4 linked regions of the Caenorhabditis elegans genome follow. The protein of the gene in region 3 interacts with the protein of the main gene of each other region in a biochemical or structural test. Each region holds a gene or a part of one and is shown on either strand. Other genes may lie near its edges. The genes, in order: flp-21, flp-3, npr-6 and flp-4.

What was found.
Region 1: of the proteins of npr-6 (region 3) and flp-21, one has a biochemical effect on the other in vitro, tested with the Caenorhabditis elegans proteins (one study listed by BioGRID).
Region 2: of the proteins of npr-6 (region 3) and flp-3, one has a biochemical effect on the other in vitro, tested with the Caenorhabditis elegans proteins (one study listed by BioGRID).
Region 4: of the proteins of npr-6 (region 3) and flp-4, one has a biochemical effect on the other in vitro, tested with the Caenorhabditis elegans proteins (one study listed by BioGRID).

The regions. Positions count from the first base shown.
Region 1 is NC_003283.11:7,791,528-7,794,555, reverse strand, and holds flp-21 (GLGPRPLRF-amide), read right to left. Parts: upstream 1,190-3,028; 5' UTR 1,187-1,189; coding exon 1,102-1,186; intron 1,052-1,101; coding exon 982-1,051; intron 817-981; coding exon 771-816; 3' UTR 531-770; downstream 1-530. UniProt on the Caenorhabditis elegans protein: FMRFamide-like neuropeptide. Involved in modulating locomotion quiescence during the sleep-like state called lethargus which occurs during molting between larval and adult stages, acting via the G-protein coupled receptor npr-1.
Region 2 is NC_003284.9:10,091,446-10,094,665, forward strand, and holds flp-3 (TPLGTMRF-amide), read right to left. Parts: upstream 1,520-3,220; 5' UTR 1,474-1,519; coding exon 1,410-1,473; intron 1,362-1,409; coding exon 1,164-1,361; intron 1,115-1,163; coding exon 938-1,114; intron 890-937; coding exon 774-889; 3' UTR 501-773; downstream 1-500. Other genes in the region: flp-2 (SPREPIRF-amide), read right to left, coding at 3,184-3,220. UniProt on the Caenorhabditis elegans protein: FMRFamides and FMRFamide-like peptides are neuropeptides. SAEPFGTMRF-amide inhibits the activity of dissected pharyngeal myogenic muscle system.
Region 3 is NC_003284.9:10,282,296-10,287,324, forward strand, and holds npr-6 (G-protein coupled receptors family 1 profile domain-containing protein), read right to left. Parts: upstream 3,440-5,029; 5' UTR 3,401-3,439; coding exon 3,317-3,400; intron 3,188-3,316; coding exon 3,101-3,187; intron 3,050-3,100; coding exon 2,955-3,049; intron 2,906-2,954; coding exon 2,820-2,905; intron 2,763-2,819; coding exon 2,650-2,762; intron 2,431-2,649; coding exon 2,254-2,430; intron 2,166-2,253; coding exon 1,990-2,165; intron 1,943-1,989; coding exon 1,805-1,942; intron 1,314-1,804; coding exon 1,240-1,313; intron 1,192-1,239; coding exon 1,108-1,191; intron 951-1,107; coding exon 856-950; 3' UTR 524-855; downstream 1-523. Other genes in the region: slc-9B.1 (Cation/H+ exchanger transmembrane domain-containing protein), read left to right, coding at 1-28, 83-214.
Region 4 is NC_003280.10:10,047,227-10,054,875, reverse strand, and holds the start of flp-4 (FMRF-Like Peptide), read right to left. Parts: upstream 6,009-7,649; 5' UTR 5,825-6,008; intron 252-5,824; 5' UTR 238-251; coding exon 88-237; intron 37-87; coding exon 1-36.

The sequences.
Region 1 (3,028 bases), on a different chromosome or scaffold from region 3:
CATAAACCGAATTGGATATTTTATTTTTTCGAAACTTTTGCAATCGGCTCGGCTTTGGTAGGAAACTATGTATAAGTACTACTTTATCTTCAATTCTAGGGAATTCTCGGTTTTATTGTGAATAAAATCCCTAGGACTGATTTTTTCCATGTATTAATTGCCATACGAAATTTCTCGGAAAATGTTCTTAAAAATCATCAAAAACCAAAATTCAACGATCATTACACTTTCCACAAAACTACAAAATTGGCACCCAAAACTCAATTTCAGGAGCTTTATTACTATATAGTCGGCACATTATGTTAGAAATTCAAGAGATAGACGCCTCAATGGATTTATTACGGCAACTACGATCCTTGAAACAGTATCCATAATGTTTGTTCAACCCCTGCAGGGAAGACACCAACTGTTTCATTAATGTAATCCTGACTGATTTTCCCGGATTCTACCATTACAGTTGCAGGGTACAATTGCACAATTGGAAAATTCTTAAATATAAGGGCACTCATAAACTTAATAAAAAGTCAAATGTCAAACTGAAAGCTGTTTTTATTTGTTCAACAGAAAAAGAGGAAGTGAGATAGAAAAAGAGAGAGAGAGTAAAAAGAACATTGTTTCTGCAGCGTTTTCAAAGAGAAAAGGAGAGGATAGATATTTCTTCGGAATTGGAATTGTGGAGTGTCTGGAACATCATTTTTGTATAAAGTTACATTGAGAGGAAAGAGAGAAAATGTTGTGTCATGTTGTTCGTTCGTTCGAGCAGCAACCGTTTATCCAAATCGGAGAGGACGAGGACCGAGACCACGTTTCATTGATCTGAAATTTTAAAATTAGTTTACTTTTTTCTGAATCGCAACTAATTTATTCTAGCTGAATGCTCGTATTTCGGTAAATTATTAATTATAGCGATTTGCAACTTATTCTACAGTAAGACTTGACTTAATAAAGATGTCTATCAGAAAATAATTAAACTGGACCTACCCATGATCGTCTTCGGCAACATAGTAAACTCTGTCACTGCCGGGTCCGAATTGCTCCAAATATGCGTTCACTGAAAAAGATTAATGATTAATCTAAATCTTTAACTTTGACAAAACTTACAAACGCGGAGCGCATCTTCCTGATCGATATAAGGCGCTGCGAGGACCCACGCGAGAAGACACGAAAGCAAGATGAACAGCCGCATCGTCTGAAAATGACTTTTTGGATTTTGGAGCAATGAGAGGGTGGGAGATCAAACGTTGAATACACAATCAAATCTTAAATAGTGTACATAGTCATCGTTGTAAATTTGCATTTGTTAATGAGATTCTTGCGAAGCATGATGGGATGGGGTGGAAAAAAAGAAGTTTTGAGATAAATAGTAAGACGGAAGTGATCACTACGGTAGCTTTGAAACAAGAAATGAATATTTCAGTGTATCCCCTTCCAAATCTACTGGACTACTCACAAAAATGACCTTTGCTCCAAGAGCAACCACCCATCCTAGAACCTAGGCAAATGATACATCGAAATGTTTTTTCAGGTAAGATGATGTTATATGTATACGTGATTCCGGTAAAAGTTTTTTCTGGGAACTATGAGGAGGGTGTATGTGGTGGGAAAACAGGATAGCCCAATATTTATTGGGCACGTCATACTCGTTGCAGAGCATAGTTGAGGTGGCCGGAAATCGCGTTAAAATATGCTATGACTTGAAAACAACAATGGTCCTATTTTGGAAGATGTAATTTTACGCGATAATTCAACGAGAGATTGTAATAAAGACGTGTAGATTTTGAGTAACCATAAAATATGAAAAATTCATGAGTATTACAAATATGCAGTTTTTGGAATAAAGAAAATAGCTGACTTGAAAAATCTACTGCTCGATGACTTTGTCTAATTACGGTCTTGAAAGAAAGCAAACAGCGTCTTGTGCATTATGAGGTTTTTTGAATAAAAGGAAGTGTGCTCCGCTTAATTAAGATAAACATGTTTCAGTGTAAGTAGTTGGTCCCGACTGTAAACGCATCAGAAAACTTTAAGGTGAGAACAGTTGAGTTTCAATGCACGTATTTGATACAGCCAAAAGTTATTAAACTTTAATTGAAAAGTAGAGATTTCCACAACACATCTAACCTTTTAAAAATGTGACAGTTGATTTGAAAAAAAAATCTAGGACTGAACTAGGAAAACTGTTGACATACGTTCTTCTTTCTTTTCCCCTTTAATACCACATTGTTTTGGTCAAAAAAGTCTTTAAGATTTTTAATATTCGCAGACATCTCAACCAAATGAGGAACAGTCACAATGAAGACCACCTCAAAATGCATGTAGGTTCTTCTTTTTTCTGATATTTTTGCACAGCCTTCCCCAAAACATTCACAAACACATAAAAAACACCAACCAATTGATATACCCACAAAAGTGATGTGAAGAGCAAGTGGGAGTAAGATAAATGTGATGAACGATGAGGTGGAGGGTAAAAGTGATGAGAAAATGTAGTCTTACAAATATTCAAAAAAGTTGGTAGTTTTTGATACGATAAGTTTTCGATGAAAACCAAAAAAAGAAATAAAGAAGCTTTATGAGCCGAAAAAAGTAGAGATTTCCACGATTATCGAGTTACTTCGGGGCACATTTCGTCATCATCGAAGAAGAGGAAACAAATTTTCGTTGGCTCATTGACTTTCAAAGTTAAACTTCTTTAGAGAGTTTAGCGAGGCATAAAAACTTGAAAATTTTGTAATTTTTGGACTCGGTTTCAAACTAAAGAATGGAAAAACTTTTCCCTGTCCAAATGTCAAAGTCGCATAAAAATTGTCATTGGTAACAAAAAAAGTAGTGTTTTAGTGGGTCAGTAGATCAAATTTAACATTTGGCAGGTGAAAGAATTTGTAGAGGTACACGTCAAATGCTGGTTTTTGACGCGTTTTCTCCAAGATCTCTTATATTTTGGTTTTGGAAATATCAGCATTTTACGAAGTGGCCACCTAACAATTACAGACGAGTATTCACATCACCATATGTATTTGTGATTTTTCGA
Region 2 (3,220 bases), 190 kb from region 3:
CTGCATTTTATAACTCCATTTTTAATATACAAAAAATGAAGCAACAGATAACATTGTGAACTAGTAACGATGACTGTTCAGAATAAGAACAAAACGAATAAGCAGAAAAGGGAAAATATGCGTTTATTGTGAACATTCAGCGTTTTATTTTTAATTTGCAGTTCATCCATAATATTTTTTTCCTTGACTCTGTGCTTTAGTGATAGTTCTATTGTGAGTAGGCTGAGTAAACTTCTTTAAGAAGCCGGCAGTTTCCACGCATTCATTGGTTGGCACATGTTGGTCTTCTGTAAACATCTGAAATGTTCGAATTCATATTTGTTTTCAAGTGTCTAAAGGGGAAAACACCGGAAGTTTTGGCCAATCGGATGATGAAAGCGGACGAGCGAACCATGAAATTGTGTTCGAGAATTTCTCCATCAAAAGCAAAGACTAAATTTGAGAATCTTACAGTTTGCTAGCTAACTATTTTGGTCAAGCGTGAACAACTAACAACAAAATTTAACAAAGTGAATAATAACATTAATTTATTCTCCAATCTATGCAAACCACTTGATGAGAAGAACAGAGAAGGGGGTATTATGGAATAGTCGTTTTTCCTTAGTTTTTTGCAAAAGCCCAAGAATTATGCAATCGTTTCGGTATATTTTGGTATGAATTAGAAGCCAGAATGATAAATAATGTTAAAAGAGAGTGCCACTGCTGCGGGGGTGTTGAACATGAAAACTTAGTTGAAGCGAGAATAATATAAACGTGAAAAGTGAAAATAGAAATTATTTTCCAAAGCGCATGGTTCCAAGAGGGTTTCTTTTGCCAAAGCGCATTGTGCCAAATGGAGCACTGTCGTCAGCTGATCTTTTTCCAAAGCGCATAGTTCCAAGTGGCTCTTCTAAAAGCATAACATTGTGAAATCAAACTTTAGTACAGAACTGTATACCTGCTTCACGTTTCCCAAATTTCATTGTTCCAAATGGCGCATTACCGTCTTCTCTCTTTCCAAAACGCATGGTTCCAAACAGAGCATCCTCACTAGCACGCTTTCCAAATCTCATTGTTCCGAATGGTGTGTCGTTCTCAGGATTACGTTTTCCAAAACGCATAGTACCGAATGGCTCTGGAAACAGGTGGGTATAGTTTTTGAAAATTAATTATTTGTATAATACCTGCACTTCGTTTTCCAAAACGCATAGTTCCCAATGGAGTGCGCTGATCACGAATGACGGGCTCCGAAGAATCAACAGTAGACCGCTTCCACATTACATTTGACGGATAGTATCCATCCTCCTCAAATGTCATTTCATCAGCAATGGCTCGTTTGCCAAAGCGCATTGTTCCCAGTGGAGACCGTTTTGGTGTGGCATCTAAATACTTTTCATTCTATTTCAAAAACATAATTTCTATTCTCCTACCCGACGCTACCAAAAACGCGCAATTCACACAGAAGAGCAGGATGAGGTGATTGGGCGATATCATTGGTGGTTATGGTGGTGTTACGCGGGAGCTAACACACAAGGGGTACCTTAAAATATAACAATTAGTTACGGAAAATTTAGTCAAGAAGAAGTAGAAGTGAGGTTGTGAACCGCCGAGATATTTGCATGTTTTTATATGAGCTTAATTTCAACAATTTTAACGGTTCAGTTGTCATGCCGGAAGAGGTGTGTGGGGTTTTAGAAATTTGGTCAGGAATGCGTAAATACTGTGTGCAGTTAGAAAAATGTTCATGTGAAACGAGTAAAATTGAAATCCGGTGCTCAAAAATTATTGAAAATCTGAGCTTTGGCGAACAACTTTGTTTAATAAGTACTCGGTACATTCTATTGTCAGGTAAAAATTGGAGGCGTTGGCAATTTGGTTTAAAGGGGCGGGTTTCTAAAAAGTAAGTGGTCCCTTGATGTTGCAATGCACAGGTCAAACGATTACTATTGTGTCGAGAAAAGACTTCGAAAATGCACGATTTGACGTACGACGTCTACCGCCGCCCAACACTCCTTCAAACAAATTGCCAAGTAACAATGCTATTGCTCTTTTATTGCGGCCAGAGTTTCTATTAAAAAACGGTGGCACCTCAATTTATGCATCGTCATGTGACATTTTTGGAATACTCTAAGAAAAGAAATAAGATAATTGAGTCTAAAAAGACACTCGAAATTAGTAGAAGAAGCGTAGGTGGTAGTTTTCAAAGTTCAGGTTAATAATTTGAAACTGAAAGAATTGTGTTGAAACGGGGCGGCGGTTAACGGAAGAGGTGGGATCTCTCGAAAAACCTATAAATTTTGATGTTCAACATCATAATTCAAGCCTAGATGGATAACGAGAATGACGACTCGAACCCATTTTTTTGATGGGATACTGTAACTTTGTGACATCAACTCTCACACAGCCCACCGCCAATTATTAAATCTTTGCGTGCACAGCTAGTCAAATGTAAGTCTTGATTGATAATTGTCAGGTACGAAATTTAAACCGGGACTGGTGTTAGTTCAAAACGTAGATAGACATTTGTTCTCAAAAAAGAAAGAAATGACAGAATCCGATTGGTGCCTGTTGGTTGAGATGCCACCTTGTCGAATTTGTGAAGCGAAGCTGATTAATGAACTGAGCTTTAAGGAGGGGGGATTTTCTGTTTTTGAATAATTAAACATTATTTTTTGTCAAAAACGTCACTTGTCAGAACGCGAGAAATGATTAAGTAGGTTGAACTAATCTTGTTCTCAAGATTGAACAGTGTTTTGAAATTAAAACGAAAACTAATAAATCAAAGCTTCTTGGAAATTCTAGCACCTTCCAAAGTCACTCCACATGTTTAATTATGAGCACTCATTGACATTTCCGAAACAATTCTTTGAAGAACTAGCAAGACTGAATTTTAAAATTTTGATCTTGAAAATAGTGTGCCTCGTTTTCTGACCTAATCTGGCTAAAATCTGAAATTCAGTGCCAGTAGTCGTTTCCTTTGTTCGCGAAGAAAACGTAAGACTTGGTTAACAGATGGGCTATTATTCCATGCGGAACCCAACCACTTTATTCGAAGTTATAGGAAACATAGTTTAAAAAATGTTGTTGCATTGAAAGTACGGATCAAAATATAGGACGAGAATGGGAAGAAAATGTTGGAATATCTAATATGATGTTGGCTGAGTAGTGGGGTTCACCGTGCATTGAATCATTGATAGGATGGAGTTATTGGAAGTCGTAATCTGGCAGCGGATTGAATCGT
Region 3 (5,029 bases):
TAAATGTCTCTCTCAATACAATCCACAGGTAGCGTTCTCACTCCCATTTTTGAAATGCAATGTGAAACAAATTTTCATTCAGGATGCGCCGGCAATTGAGAAAAATTTTGACAAAACCTATATGAATGGTGATCATGTTGATGAAACCATCTATGCCGCCCGTCCGAAGACATATTCGGAATACCGCAGTGAAGCTGTTATCGAAAGATATTAAAAATTTACCCAAACTTTTTAGATTTTATTACAATTTTCCTCTGAAAAAAAAAACAAAATAATTCCTAATTTCCCATATTTATAATATTATTATCAAGTCAATTCAAATTCAATTTAAATGACCATAACCAGGAAAAGACATTTCACCAATTTTCCAATTCGATTTATTTTACTTATCCACATCTACCAATTTCCCGTTCCAGCATGTTTTTAAATATGTCATTCTGAAATTTCGTCATGATTCTGTTATACCCTTCTTACTTGAACCATATCTGATCTTATCAACCACACCAGTTGAACCAATTTTTTGTAACCAATATGAAATTTCATTTACAAATATTTTATCAAAATGTGACAAGAAGAAGAAACAAAAGATAAATCAGCATCAAGCAAGATTTGTGCAAATACAGCAGTGCATAAGTTAAGTATAACCACATAGTTTAGATCAGGACAGGTTTGATCAGAGATTTAGCTGAAAAAATCTTAGGAAAGAAAAACAATATGACCAAAAAAATAAAATGTTGAATAAGTGTTTTTATGAAAATTACATATGAAGGCAAGTGGAAAGCGGATAAATGTACTGGCAAGTGACATGACTAAAAGCGACTTTTGTTCTGACTTTCCGGTTTTGTATTGAGCGGCTTAAAGCAGAAGCGTCTGACAACTTGATCCGTTCTCAGGCTCATCGAGATACACGATACTGCGCTGCGGCTCCACTGCAGTTTGAAGTGGACTCTCTGAATCTGTTTCTAAAGATTGCTGGTTTGTTGAAAAGTTCACTGACAACGAGTGCATGCAGGGAATGAATGGCTTCCTATTCTTCGTTGGATGTCGGGTGTAAAAGTTCTTAACGAAGAATAACTAAGGATCAAACAACATAAAAGTAAAACTCACCAGAAATCACCGTAACAGGCTGTTCCTCCACTTTTTTTTTTCGGTTTGCACGTCGAAACGGGTTAGTTATCATAGCGGTGCGTTCTAAAAAAAAAGCTAAGCAAAAATAACTTCAAATTTATCAGGTTTTACCAGTGATGACGCGAATTGGACCAGTTCCAGGACGACGCGCAAACAAGCAGGGAACAACTTTTGCGAACTCCTCACTGAAAATGAGCATTGCAAGAAAATGAAAATTAAATAATTCAATTTATTGAATTTAATTTAATTGAATTTAATTGAATTTTGAACTGTGCAAATTTTTTAAATAATCCTAAATTTACCAAAAAGTGTCTTTTTTTTTAGTTTAATCTGTTTCTAATTATAAGAAGAAACAGTGTCACGAGAGGAAATTTTATTGAGTATTTATAAAAAATAAATTTTTAATAAAATAAATGAGAACTGAACACACAAATGCAGTCTAAGATAAAACTTCTTGACTTTTTATCAATTGTATTTTCTAGCACATGTTTACGTATCAAATTTTATAACTTGTATTTTCAACCTGAACGAGAAGAAAACAACCCCTCGTAATCTTTTAACTGCAATTTATTTTCCAATAAATCGTTGAGTCACTAATGATTATCAATTGTTGTCTGTATTGTTTAAAACGGGTTTTCGACCAGACGGCGGCGAAATGCAAATCCCATAAACCCACCGGAAGGTCTCATTCATGAATGCGTAGAGGATTGGATTCCAGGCGGTAGCTGTCATACTCATCAAATGCACGGAAAGGAAAACAAAACTGAAGTAGCCACGCATGAAATTATCCAACTTGAGATCTCGGAGACAGTTTCTGAATTTATTTCAAATATATGACATATTATTCACTTCTAAACTAACAAGAGGTTGAATGGGAACCAGCAAATTGCGAAGATGACCACCATGACAATCAACATCCGTAGTAAACGCTTTTTGCGCTTGATATCGGATTTTCTCTCGGTCATACTTTGACGGCTATTTAGGAACAACCATATTTTTATGTAACTAATGGCAATGAGTACAAATGGCAAAATGAACTGAAAATTGATTTGTGCATAGGCATAGATATATGTATATATAATCCCCCGGTAATTTATACAAATAATTTCATTGTCCCCAACTCACTTGAAGAATCATCACCACAATTCCAAAAATAGATCGAAATTCGGCATTGCTCCAGTCCTCACTACATATCAGAAAATCACATGGTTCATGAATGTAGTTGAGCTTCATGTTGATGGCATACGGAGTGACCAGAAGCAATGAGCATAGCCAAATGAGGACAATGAACGAAAGGCAAGACTGAATTTGGTATGTACGAAAGTTTCAAAAAAATTTTAAAAATTAGAATTTTTTCCAATTACAAAGTTGTTCTACACCGAAAACAGGAAAAACTATTATTTTCATGGAGGTTACTTTGTTAACTGTACTTCAAAAACACCTTTCTATAGACTAAGAAATGAGAGTTTTGGTTTTTTGGAGTTAGGTTTTTTATTGATACATTGTTCCTGCTCAACTTACTCTCATGGACATTCTATCATTTATATTGATATTTGATGAGTTGTGCACGATCACTATGTATCGATCTATGGCTATAGCCGTAAGTGTCCACGTACTGATGAAGATACTTGTACCTGTATAGTTAGATGCTTGATCACTGCTTAACTTCCCGTCTATATGTAAACCAATACCTTGGAACAGGGGTAAACCATGACACAATCCACCTCCGAATATCCAATGTCCTATTGAGGTGTATGTTGGTGTAAGCCACAACGATCTGAATATAAGAACCGGATATATCACTTCCGATTTCAAAAAAAACCCACGTAAAGTTAACCATTATATCAGAAACTGCGAGATTTGTAATAAAAATGTTGGTGATCGTCTGCATTCGCTTGTTCGTCATCACAACGTACACCACCTTAAACACAGTTGTTGGAAAACTGGAGAAATCGAAAATGATATTACTTACCAAAAAATTACCGGAACTAGCAACCAAAAAAACAGCACAATACATAGAAATAAAGAATGGGCGGAAATATTCCATTTCCATGGGGTTCTGAAACGTGTTTTTTTAAAATAAAAATTACTCGGCTTCAGTTAAAATAATTCATAATCAAATAGTTTCAATGAACATTTTTGATTTTTTTTCAAACGTTCACGAACAATTTTGGACACGAAAACTTACGTTTTTGATTTTACATGTACTTTGATATGAAGGTGTTGTTTCATTTAGTATAGAAGACACTGAAGGCACGAGATCATTCGACATCTGAATCAAATATTATCAGAAATTGGGATAAACGAAGAGCTGAAAATATTAGAATCGGGAGATAAATCGAGTACATTTTAAGAATTGTGAACTGGATATGTTTGGTTGCGATGTGTCTCGTTTAGACCTCTTTAAGTTCATAATATTCTGACGTGGGCGCGGTGGAAGAGTCGGAAATGAACTTGATTTTAAGGAGAAAAAACGAGATTTGACACGTTTCATAGAGCAAAAGATGTTAGAAGTATTTTCAAATTTAAAGCTCCCAAAAGAATATAAAATTGAGAATATGTTAAGTCAGTTATGAAAATTTAATGATATTCGCATCTTTGCAATTGACACTAGAAGAGCGACCACATCTAAACTAGAAATCTACATAGTTCATATAATACAAAACTGATGTCATGATTTTTGAAAAAAAAAATCAATAAAAATTACAATATTAATAATACACTATTAAACAGATTCAATAGAACCCAAAGTTTTCAATGATTTTTTAAAAATTGTTTGTTTTCAATTCTTCTTGTCAATCAAATAAAAAAGAGAACATGAGCCAAACACTTCCCTCATTTTCTTATTTTCTCACTTTCTGTGTGAGACTTGCAATTCTAGACGCGAAAAGTGAATCTCAAAGTGAGAAAAGAGGAGGCGTCGTGAACTTTTAAAAGGGAAAGAATCCATATACATGTGAGAAATTTTCTCTTTTTCGAAATAAGCTGAGACCCTTCTTTTTTCCCTTTACGTTAAACAAACTACATACTCATTTATTTAAAATTTGCCTAAAAACTGGTACGCAAACGCACAAAGCGAATCGAGAGTCCTTTGATTTATGTTATGAATTCATCTTCGATGAAGCGAATTTTGAATTTCCTATAAAAAACAGAAAGAAAGGGTCGAAATTCGAAGAAGAAGACGCTTACGTAAGTTCAACAAGCTAGATTCAAATTATTTGGTTTCAATTGAAAATCAGAAATGAAATATGGACGTGGAGAAGAAATAGAAAAAAGATAATGTAAGGAGCCAATGGATTTAATCTCTCTAAATGGTGGGATGTGAAACATTCATGAGATGTAGGCTACTACGAACCAAGGATAATGTTATTATCTTGATTGATAAAGCTCTCATTGTTGCAAAAAAAAGGACTCGCATAGTAGGTGACCTTTTTTAGAACATTTCCTTTTGATAGTTTCGTCTTTGCCCTTGCCCTGTCTATGTATAGGGTTCATCCGTCTATTCTCTATTTTTCGTCTGGAAATCCGACTCCAATACCGCGGAAATTGAATTTCGACCGGGCGATGAGGGGCACCAGAAAAAAGTCGAGAAAAACTGAAGCACTCCTTGAGGTGGAAAAGGAGAAACGTTGCACATGAACTAAAGTAAACAATTCTGAGAGGGCGGATAAGCTTTGGTGAAACTGAGACAACCAAATACAGCTCAAAATTGTAAGGCAAAGGATAGAAATTGGATAATGAGCGTAGGAAAACATTTTTGAAAACAGAAATCAGAATAAATCGAAAATTAATATAAATTTTAGCTCAAGGAGTATACTTGATGACACAACGAAAATTTTAATGAAACGTCACATTTATCAAAATAGATAAGTGAGCACGGTTTGGAGAAAAAATCAGTTGA
Region 4 (7,649 bases), on a different chromosome or scaffold from region 3:
TGGTGGCCAGAAGTTTTGCTGCTCGACAATTTCCGGCTGAAACATTCATTTATTTTTATAACTTTTCTCAATTTTTAAAAATCTTACAATAAGTTCATCTGGACTTGCAATATTCTTCTCTTCTTGCTCAGCAATTTCTTCACCAGATGACGGTGGATGAGCTGCTGTGAGTGCAAGCAACGTGGCAAAAAGCAAGGAGAAGATGAATGTTTTAAGGGAAGAGGAGAAGGCGTTCATGTCGCTGTAGTTGTCTGAAAATTGCAGAAATAATGAAGAAGGGGAAGGGGGAGCTTGAAGCGGAAAATTATGCGACGAAAAGGTTGAGCAGGTGCTTTTAAAAGAAACGGAGAACAATTGATAAAGGGGTGGAGTCAGTGTGACGTTGATAATGGTTGGATTAAAAAATTAGAGGACAAGTAATTTATCAATATTAACTTAAACAAAGGGTGAATAAACCGGGATTGCCCAAAGTTTGGCCGCACCCAGCTCAAAATTTTTTAATTTTTGTTTCGCCTGAAAACGAAATTCGAACACTTTTTTTGGTTGCTTTTTTGGCATTTCTGGTTTACCTGTTTAAAAAAAAATTGACGTTCAGTTGGAAAATACCATGAAACAATTGTACTTCAATAATTCTCCAAAAATAGAGGAAATAACATTTCACTGGTGTCTAAAAGTGATAGGTTTCCTAAAAAACAAAAACGCACATCCGTTTTCACAAACTTCAAGCCTTTTATTCAAAAACTCAATCACCAATGTTTCTCAACTGACGCATCTTCAACATTTTGACGTAATTTTTGAAAACTTTGACGTGCTAAATATTTCCTGTGCAAGCTGATTTTTGTTATCTAGACATTTTGGTTCAATTCTCAAAAAAAAACATCTGCAATGAGGCGTGTGGAATAGTTTTCGGAAAAGGTTGGAGATTGAAAATTGATCGGGATTATTCTAAATTATCATTGAGTTGATTAAAAAGTTTTCAATTATTCTCTTATACTGTTCACCCTGGGACTAATTAAAAATACGGTAAATACTATTTATTGGCTAATCGTAATATTTTATTTAAATATCCAATGACACAAAAACGCACGTCAAAGAGAGAAGAAAGAAAATTTAAAAAAACGTATCAATAATGCAAAGAAATATCTCGGAGAACATCAAGACCGGTGCGCCCGATTCCTGGAAGACATTGAGCCCCCACGTAAGAAGTGAAAGACCGAAAGACCTTTTTTATAATAAGTAATGAAACATGAGAACTATTCTGAACATTATACGAGCTGATTGGACACCCGATATGAGCATTTGAGTGGTGAAGTCTCTTGAACTTTCAAATTTTGCATAATTTCTGTTGGAAAAGAAGGAAATGTGGGTGTGGTCTGACGTCAAGGGTTCAAAATTATGCTGGTGGTCCGTTAGAAGTAGTTCTATGAAATTTAAACAAAAATCAATGGTTCTCCAAACAAATTTCTGAAGCTTAAAGGATAGCTGGAAAAAACACCAGAACTAAATCTTTAGAGCCAGCCAAATTTTTCAAACTTGTCAATTTCAGATATTATGCGTTGAATCCATGTTCTGTTATCCGATGGATCAAAAATTATAAGTTTGTAAACAATACGAATTTATAAAAGATCCTTATTAAAACTTCAAACTCACATTAACCTCCTCGGAAGGGATTAATTATAGACTTAAGCTTCTAAAATAACTAATATTTTTTAGTCGAGCTTCTTTTATGTGTCTAAAGAAATTATTACAGACGTTTTGGTTTTCAATGAAATATAATCCTTTGGTTTTTAGTTTGTGTCTATATCTATTGGTCTCTAGGGTTACGGTAGTGACGGGTTAACTTCAATTAGTAAATCACCTATTTACTGTCTCGAACGTGGTCATAAACTTTGTTGAGTGTAGGCAAAAAATGCCTACCTATTCATGTATGTAGATTGTCAATTGATCTCCATAATTGCTGGAATTCAGTGATTTTGATAAGATTTCAGAAGCTGATAGATTTTCAAAATGGAGAATAAAACTTCTAATGAATAAGACAGAGTCAAAAGTTGAACTCACCACTTTGCCAAATTCAAAAGCTGAAACTAATGTTGTAAGAGTGGATTTCTTAGGTATTTATACTTAAACCTTCAGTTCAAAAAACCTTAACTAAATACCAAAGGGGTATTATTACGACACATATCAGACTTTAGTCTAAGATTAGGATTAATATTAATCTATTGCTTACATTTTCATGTTTTAATGAATCAAGGTTTAGGTTACACTGTGAAAAAGAATAATCTTTTAATGGACGAGATGATCTTCGGAAAGTGAATTGACAATGCGATCTTAGGAATAAAATTAGAATTGTGATAAGTTTAGTCTAGTTTCAAAAGCTTGCTGGAAGTGTTTGTCTTAAAACAAGGAAATCTATCACCTAGCCTATTCATAGGCACAAAAATACATATCATCGAAACTATCACAAAATGTCCAAGAGGCACGCAGGTAAGCATTTTGGGGGCCTTTAGAGATCATTTCAAAGTAAAATAACGCGAACAGTATGTGCTTGGATGTTCTTCATTTGAAAGCTTTCTACTGTTTTTCGTTCAGGAAAATTATCGTACTGCGTAGGATTCAGATCTTTGTCATAAACTTCGTTCATTCATAGTTTCTTCCGCATGCCATTTCAAATAAGATCAAAAGTCTATTTTTTGAATAACCTTAACATTTATCTTAAACTCTAATTTTTCTTTTAGGTTCTATTGTTTGCGATAATGGATGTCTCTCAGGATTAAGCATAGTCAAAAATCACATCCGTGTCTTTTTCCGGATTTTCTATCACGAAAACTCATCACATAGGTAACTGTAACAGATGATCAGTCAGGTAGTGTGGCATAATGAAACCTAATAAGTATTTTGAAAATGAATATTCTTTGTACAGCAAAAATACATTTAATTCTAATACCACATTGAAACTCTAAAATTTCAATGAATTATATGACGTCACACGGCGCTGAAAATGTGTCCCAGCAGAGAAAAAAGAAAAAGAACGGAATAATAAGAAATGTGAAGAACAGTTGGAGGTGCTTAAAAATGCATGCAAAAATACTAAGAAATTCACTGGATATTGGTCACAATTTGTAGATTTGTGCGTACAAACTCGTGGTGTAGAATTACTTTATTAGGTGTGATATGAGTTATCAGAATCAGTTTGATTAAAAATTGGATTGGAAAATGTGGAAAAATTGTCATGGTGCGTGGTTTGATCTGAGAATAATTGGAAAATATGATGGATTGAAAAGGAAAATCCTGAGAAAATTTTGAGAAATGCCTTTTTGGAAAAATGACGCAATTGGAATTAATTGAGTAGTTGGGCTACAGTCACGTACTACATTTTGAAGAGTTTTATAAAAAAATATGGTGGTTCTTTGATATATTTTTCCCGGTGTAATGATAGAAATTCCTATCTGGAAGTAAATTTCCAGAGCTCTCTACGTATTCAGATTCCCACGTAAAGATTTTATAATTTTCAAGAACTCTTTTCTGTTTTCTGGATTTGTGGTAAAGCTCTGAGTTTTGTGATCACGATGCTTCAACTGGAATTTTAAATAGTGATAAACAGTTTCTTAATTCTCAGAGTAAGAGAAGTTTCTCCCATAGTTTTAAGGAAAGTATTCCAACTTTTAATTTTCTAAAGAAGGACACTTTTTATTACGTCTGGACTATTGAAGAAGCCAGAAACCACTAAAGTTCAAAAGAGCTCATCAAACAGTCATGGAGTCAGGGAGCAGGAGTGTAAATCAAGTGCGTGAAAGCTTGAAATTCTAAAAAAAAAGAACATTTGAAGACCTCGAAGCTCCTTGAAAACCATTTTACTACGCGACTTCCAAATCGGAATATTAAAATTTGCAAAATATTTATCAGGCATTTCCAGTTTTCGAGCCCTTGATTCACACCCCTGTTGTGTAGCAGCTAGATGTTTGAATGAAGATTTTGAATTAAAAAGAAGGAAATTTTACTGTAGCCCGTAATATAAAGGTACACTTATAAGTCGATCCAAGAAGCATGAAAATCTGAACGAATGATCTTATTCTATGCTCAATTTTTATAGGAGACGTAAATACAATTAGCAAAGAAAGAACTCTCAAAATGTTATTTTGTTGTCTACGTAATTCAACAACAACTTAAATCTTCCATGTTATGCTGAAAATATTCTGCCTGCCTTCAAGGTAACCTACGTTCCTTGGAAATATGTCATGACTACTGCCAAAGTTGTAAAAACATGAATACAAAACATACTCCTGAAGACGTGCGTGCATACGACGATGCTATACAAGAACTATAACAAGAAAGAAAAGTAGTCCTGCATATATACTAAATCTAAAAATGTATTTACAGTTTCTTTTGCCCACACAAATAAGACGCCCACTTAACTTTTCATCTTTTGAACTTGGCTCTCAAGTTTCCATAAAAAGAAGAACATTTTTGCAGGAAGCTGTCTTTCAGTCCTAAAAGCTAACTTCTTGTTTTTCTTAACTTTCGAATATCTGAAGATTCGGTGCCGCAAATTGAATAACAACAACTATTTTTGGATGGACCATAAATAGACGTTCCTCCTAACTCTTCAGGTTACACCTACGTTTTCCGAACATTTTTGAAACCTTAAAGGACAATTTAATAGAAAATCAAAGGAACATGGATAGGTAATAATTCAAAATCCGTGTGTGTTTTTGTCTGATGTTGTCACTTTCGAACAAGCAACAACTAATTCGACAACATCAATCAAAATTCCCGAATCTCGGCAATTTTTCTTCGATTAGCTTTTGAGCGTCCAAGGTTCAATTCAGGAAAAAGAAATATGAGAGCAAATGAGTGAAATTGAAAACAGAACAAGACAAGAAAATGACTAACTAGATAATATGTAACATGATAAGAAGATTATAGATTAACAATGAATAGTCAGAAATTATTCTTGTAAGTCTAGTAAATCGGCTTGCAGATTTCATCGGAACATTTATTAAAAACAATACATGTAAGAAGCCAAAATTGAACACGTGTTTTGAATTCAAGATTTTTTAAATTTATAAAAAACAAGTCTGCGGTTTTTTTTTTGGGCTTAGATTTATGTACTCTATAGCTTTTTCAAGTCATAAAAAGCTTTGAAATGCATTACTGTATTGAATAAATGTTTAGTAAATGTTTTGAAAAACTGGTAAATTTTCAAACAAAAAATTTTTTTAAAGCAATTTCAAATCATGTAGGTTCGATTATTTAGAGGTGCTAATTTGGAAAACAACCTTGTATAACTCTTTGGAGATACCCTAAATTTAGATCCACAATACATATCTAGAAATTTGATACACTAGACACTAGACATACCTCAAGAAAATTATGAACGAAAAAATGTACATTGTCTTATATAAATACTTGTATGAATGACGTTGCAATGGCTAACGTCAAATACTCCAATAAAAACTCTAGAAGTTAATCAACAATATGTGTTTAGTAATAATCGTTTGACGCCCACTTTTCGCTAGTTTTCAAGCAAAACCAATTTCCGATTTCTGAAACGAAAAATGAAAATAACTATGGCAGCTACAAATGGTCACGTAGACTAAACCAAACAACAACAATCTTCAAGAAGTTCCTCGAAAAAATTGAAGATTTTCCAGAAAAAAAAACAGTCAGATACACCACGTTTTCTGGTTATGCTCCATTGTGGCCTCAAGATACTGCTGTTAGACCAAAACTTTTTGTCAAATTTCATGAATTTCAAAGAACATTTTTGCCAGTTTGCTTTTCACGTCAACTAGATCTATTGATGTCAAAGCGAAAAAAAACCTACCAATTTTTTGCGGAAATATTGAGATCCAAATATGAATTTGCGAAGAAAGGCGTGAGCAGGCGGAGCCTAGTGCGCAATCAAATGAATGTGACTGGAATGATGTTGAATAGGGGAAAAAAGGAAACAGAATAAGGAGACAGCACAAAAAAGGAGAATGGAATGGACACTGGAAGTTGGAATATATGTAGAATAAGTAGGAATGGGTTGAGGAAGAAGAGGACAGTTTTATTGAGTTCTTTACGAGCTGGGGAATGAGGAATGATGATGGAATCATTGGAGAAAAAATTGTGGTACGACCAAAAAGCTGAAGACGTGGGTTTTGTCTGACAAGGCATGACGAATCAATGATTAGGTGGAGGGGGACATCGAATTTATGACGGAACTTCGGGAATGAAACGTGCCAAAAGATGGATGGGGGTCCAACTACCCCAATAAGTTTGATCTTTTGGAATACCAAACTAGGAGGTAATGGGGGTTTTCGGCTATTTTTAGATAAAGTTGATTGAAAACTACCGTAGTTCGACTGAAAAATTATCTTGCGTAGATGTTGGCTTTCGAATTTATTTTAGAAAATTTAGGAAAGGTTGAGAACCTTCTAGAAACTCTAGAAACTTTTGGAATATTCGGGGAAAACCGGGAAACTTTGGAAAACGTCTGTATTGTAAAATAAAGACCCGTCGCTGCGGGTTCAAATTCATGCTCTTCAAAAAAATTCAGCGCCCACAGTTCAAATATGTGATTTTAGAATTATTCTGTCAAATTAGAAGGAAGTACAAAAATTTTATATAGAAACTGAAAAAAAACGTCAGAAGACAATATATGCACCAATAGCCTATTGATTTGAAGAGCTGAAAAAGTTTAAATCCCACAAAAAACAATAGCAGGATTTTTTGGGAACCCCGCAAATGATAGAACACTTTTAATATTGGAACAAGTGCTCAAATTTTTTAAAGACAGTTAAATGAATTATTGAAATTATTCATTTTACTTTCCTTTTTTGCAAAAATAAAATCCGAATCCGTAGGTCTCGGGAAATCACTAAAGATAAGTAAGTCTTAACATTTTCCTAATTATGAAAATCAGATCGGTCAACATTTTGCAATTTCGCTAAAACATGCACAAAATAAGAACCAAGAAATCAAGCCTTTTTTTTCGTGTTATTTTCTGCGCTTTTCTTTAATAAACAGAAAATTGCTCCTGATCCAAAAATAATCCAGACAACTCATCCAAACAATCTTCTGCTCGGAGGAGAAGGAAATGCACAATTTGCAACCACTTGTACGTGGGGAAATTGAGGAAATGGTTATGTAGTTCAAAAGTATTTGTGTGGGCTCCGGATTGGGGCATGAAAAATCAAAAAAATTGTTCGTATTGGACTATTTTTCTAATAACTTTGGTAATTTTATAATTTTCCAAAACTCGGCAATTTACCAAAAAAGACCACAGATCTATTCGGAAAAGTTTTGATGCAAAAATTTAACTTTACCAGTTGTCTCCTTTTTTGAATAAATATTAAAGAACATAACATCTCCACAAAATCCAAAAAAATTGAAAAGCATCTACAAAAAAAGAAAAATGCTGCTTAATTTTCTATTAAACCCGCAGGCTTTCAATTACACATTTCAAGATATTTGGGAAGCACTATAAATACTACAAGTAGTGCAAAACAAGACGAAATCGTCATTTTAAATTATTAAATTATTGAAAATCTGAAAGAATGCTGTGCAATTCTAAAAGGGGCTTAGTCAGCGGAAGCTATTTTTTTCAAATTACTTATTCACGTCCGAGTCATCAAACTACTCAATGTGTTCTACCAAGTCTATAG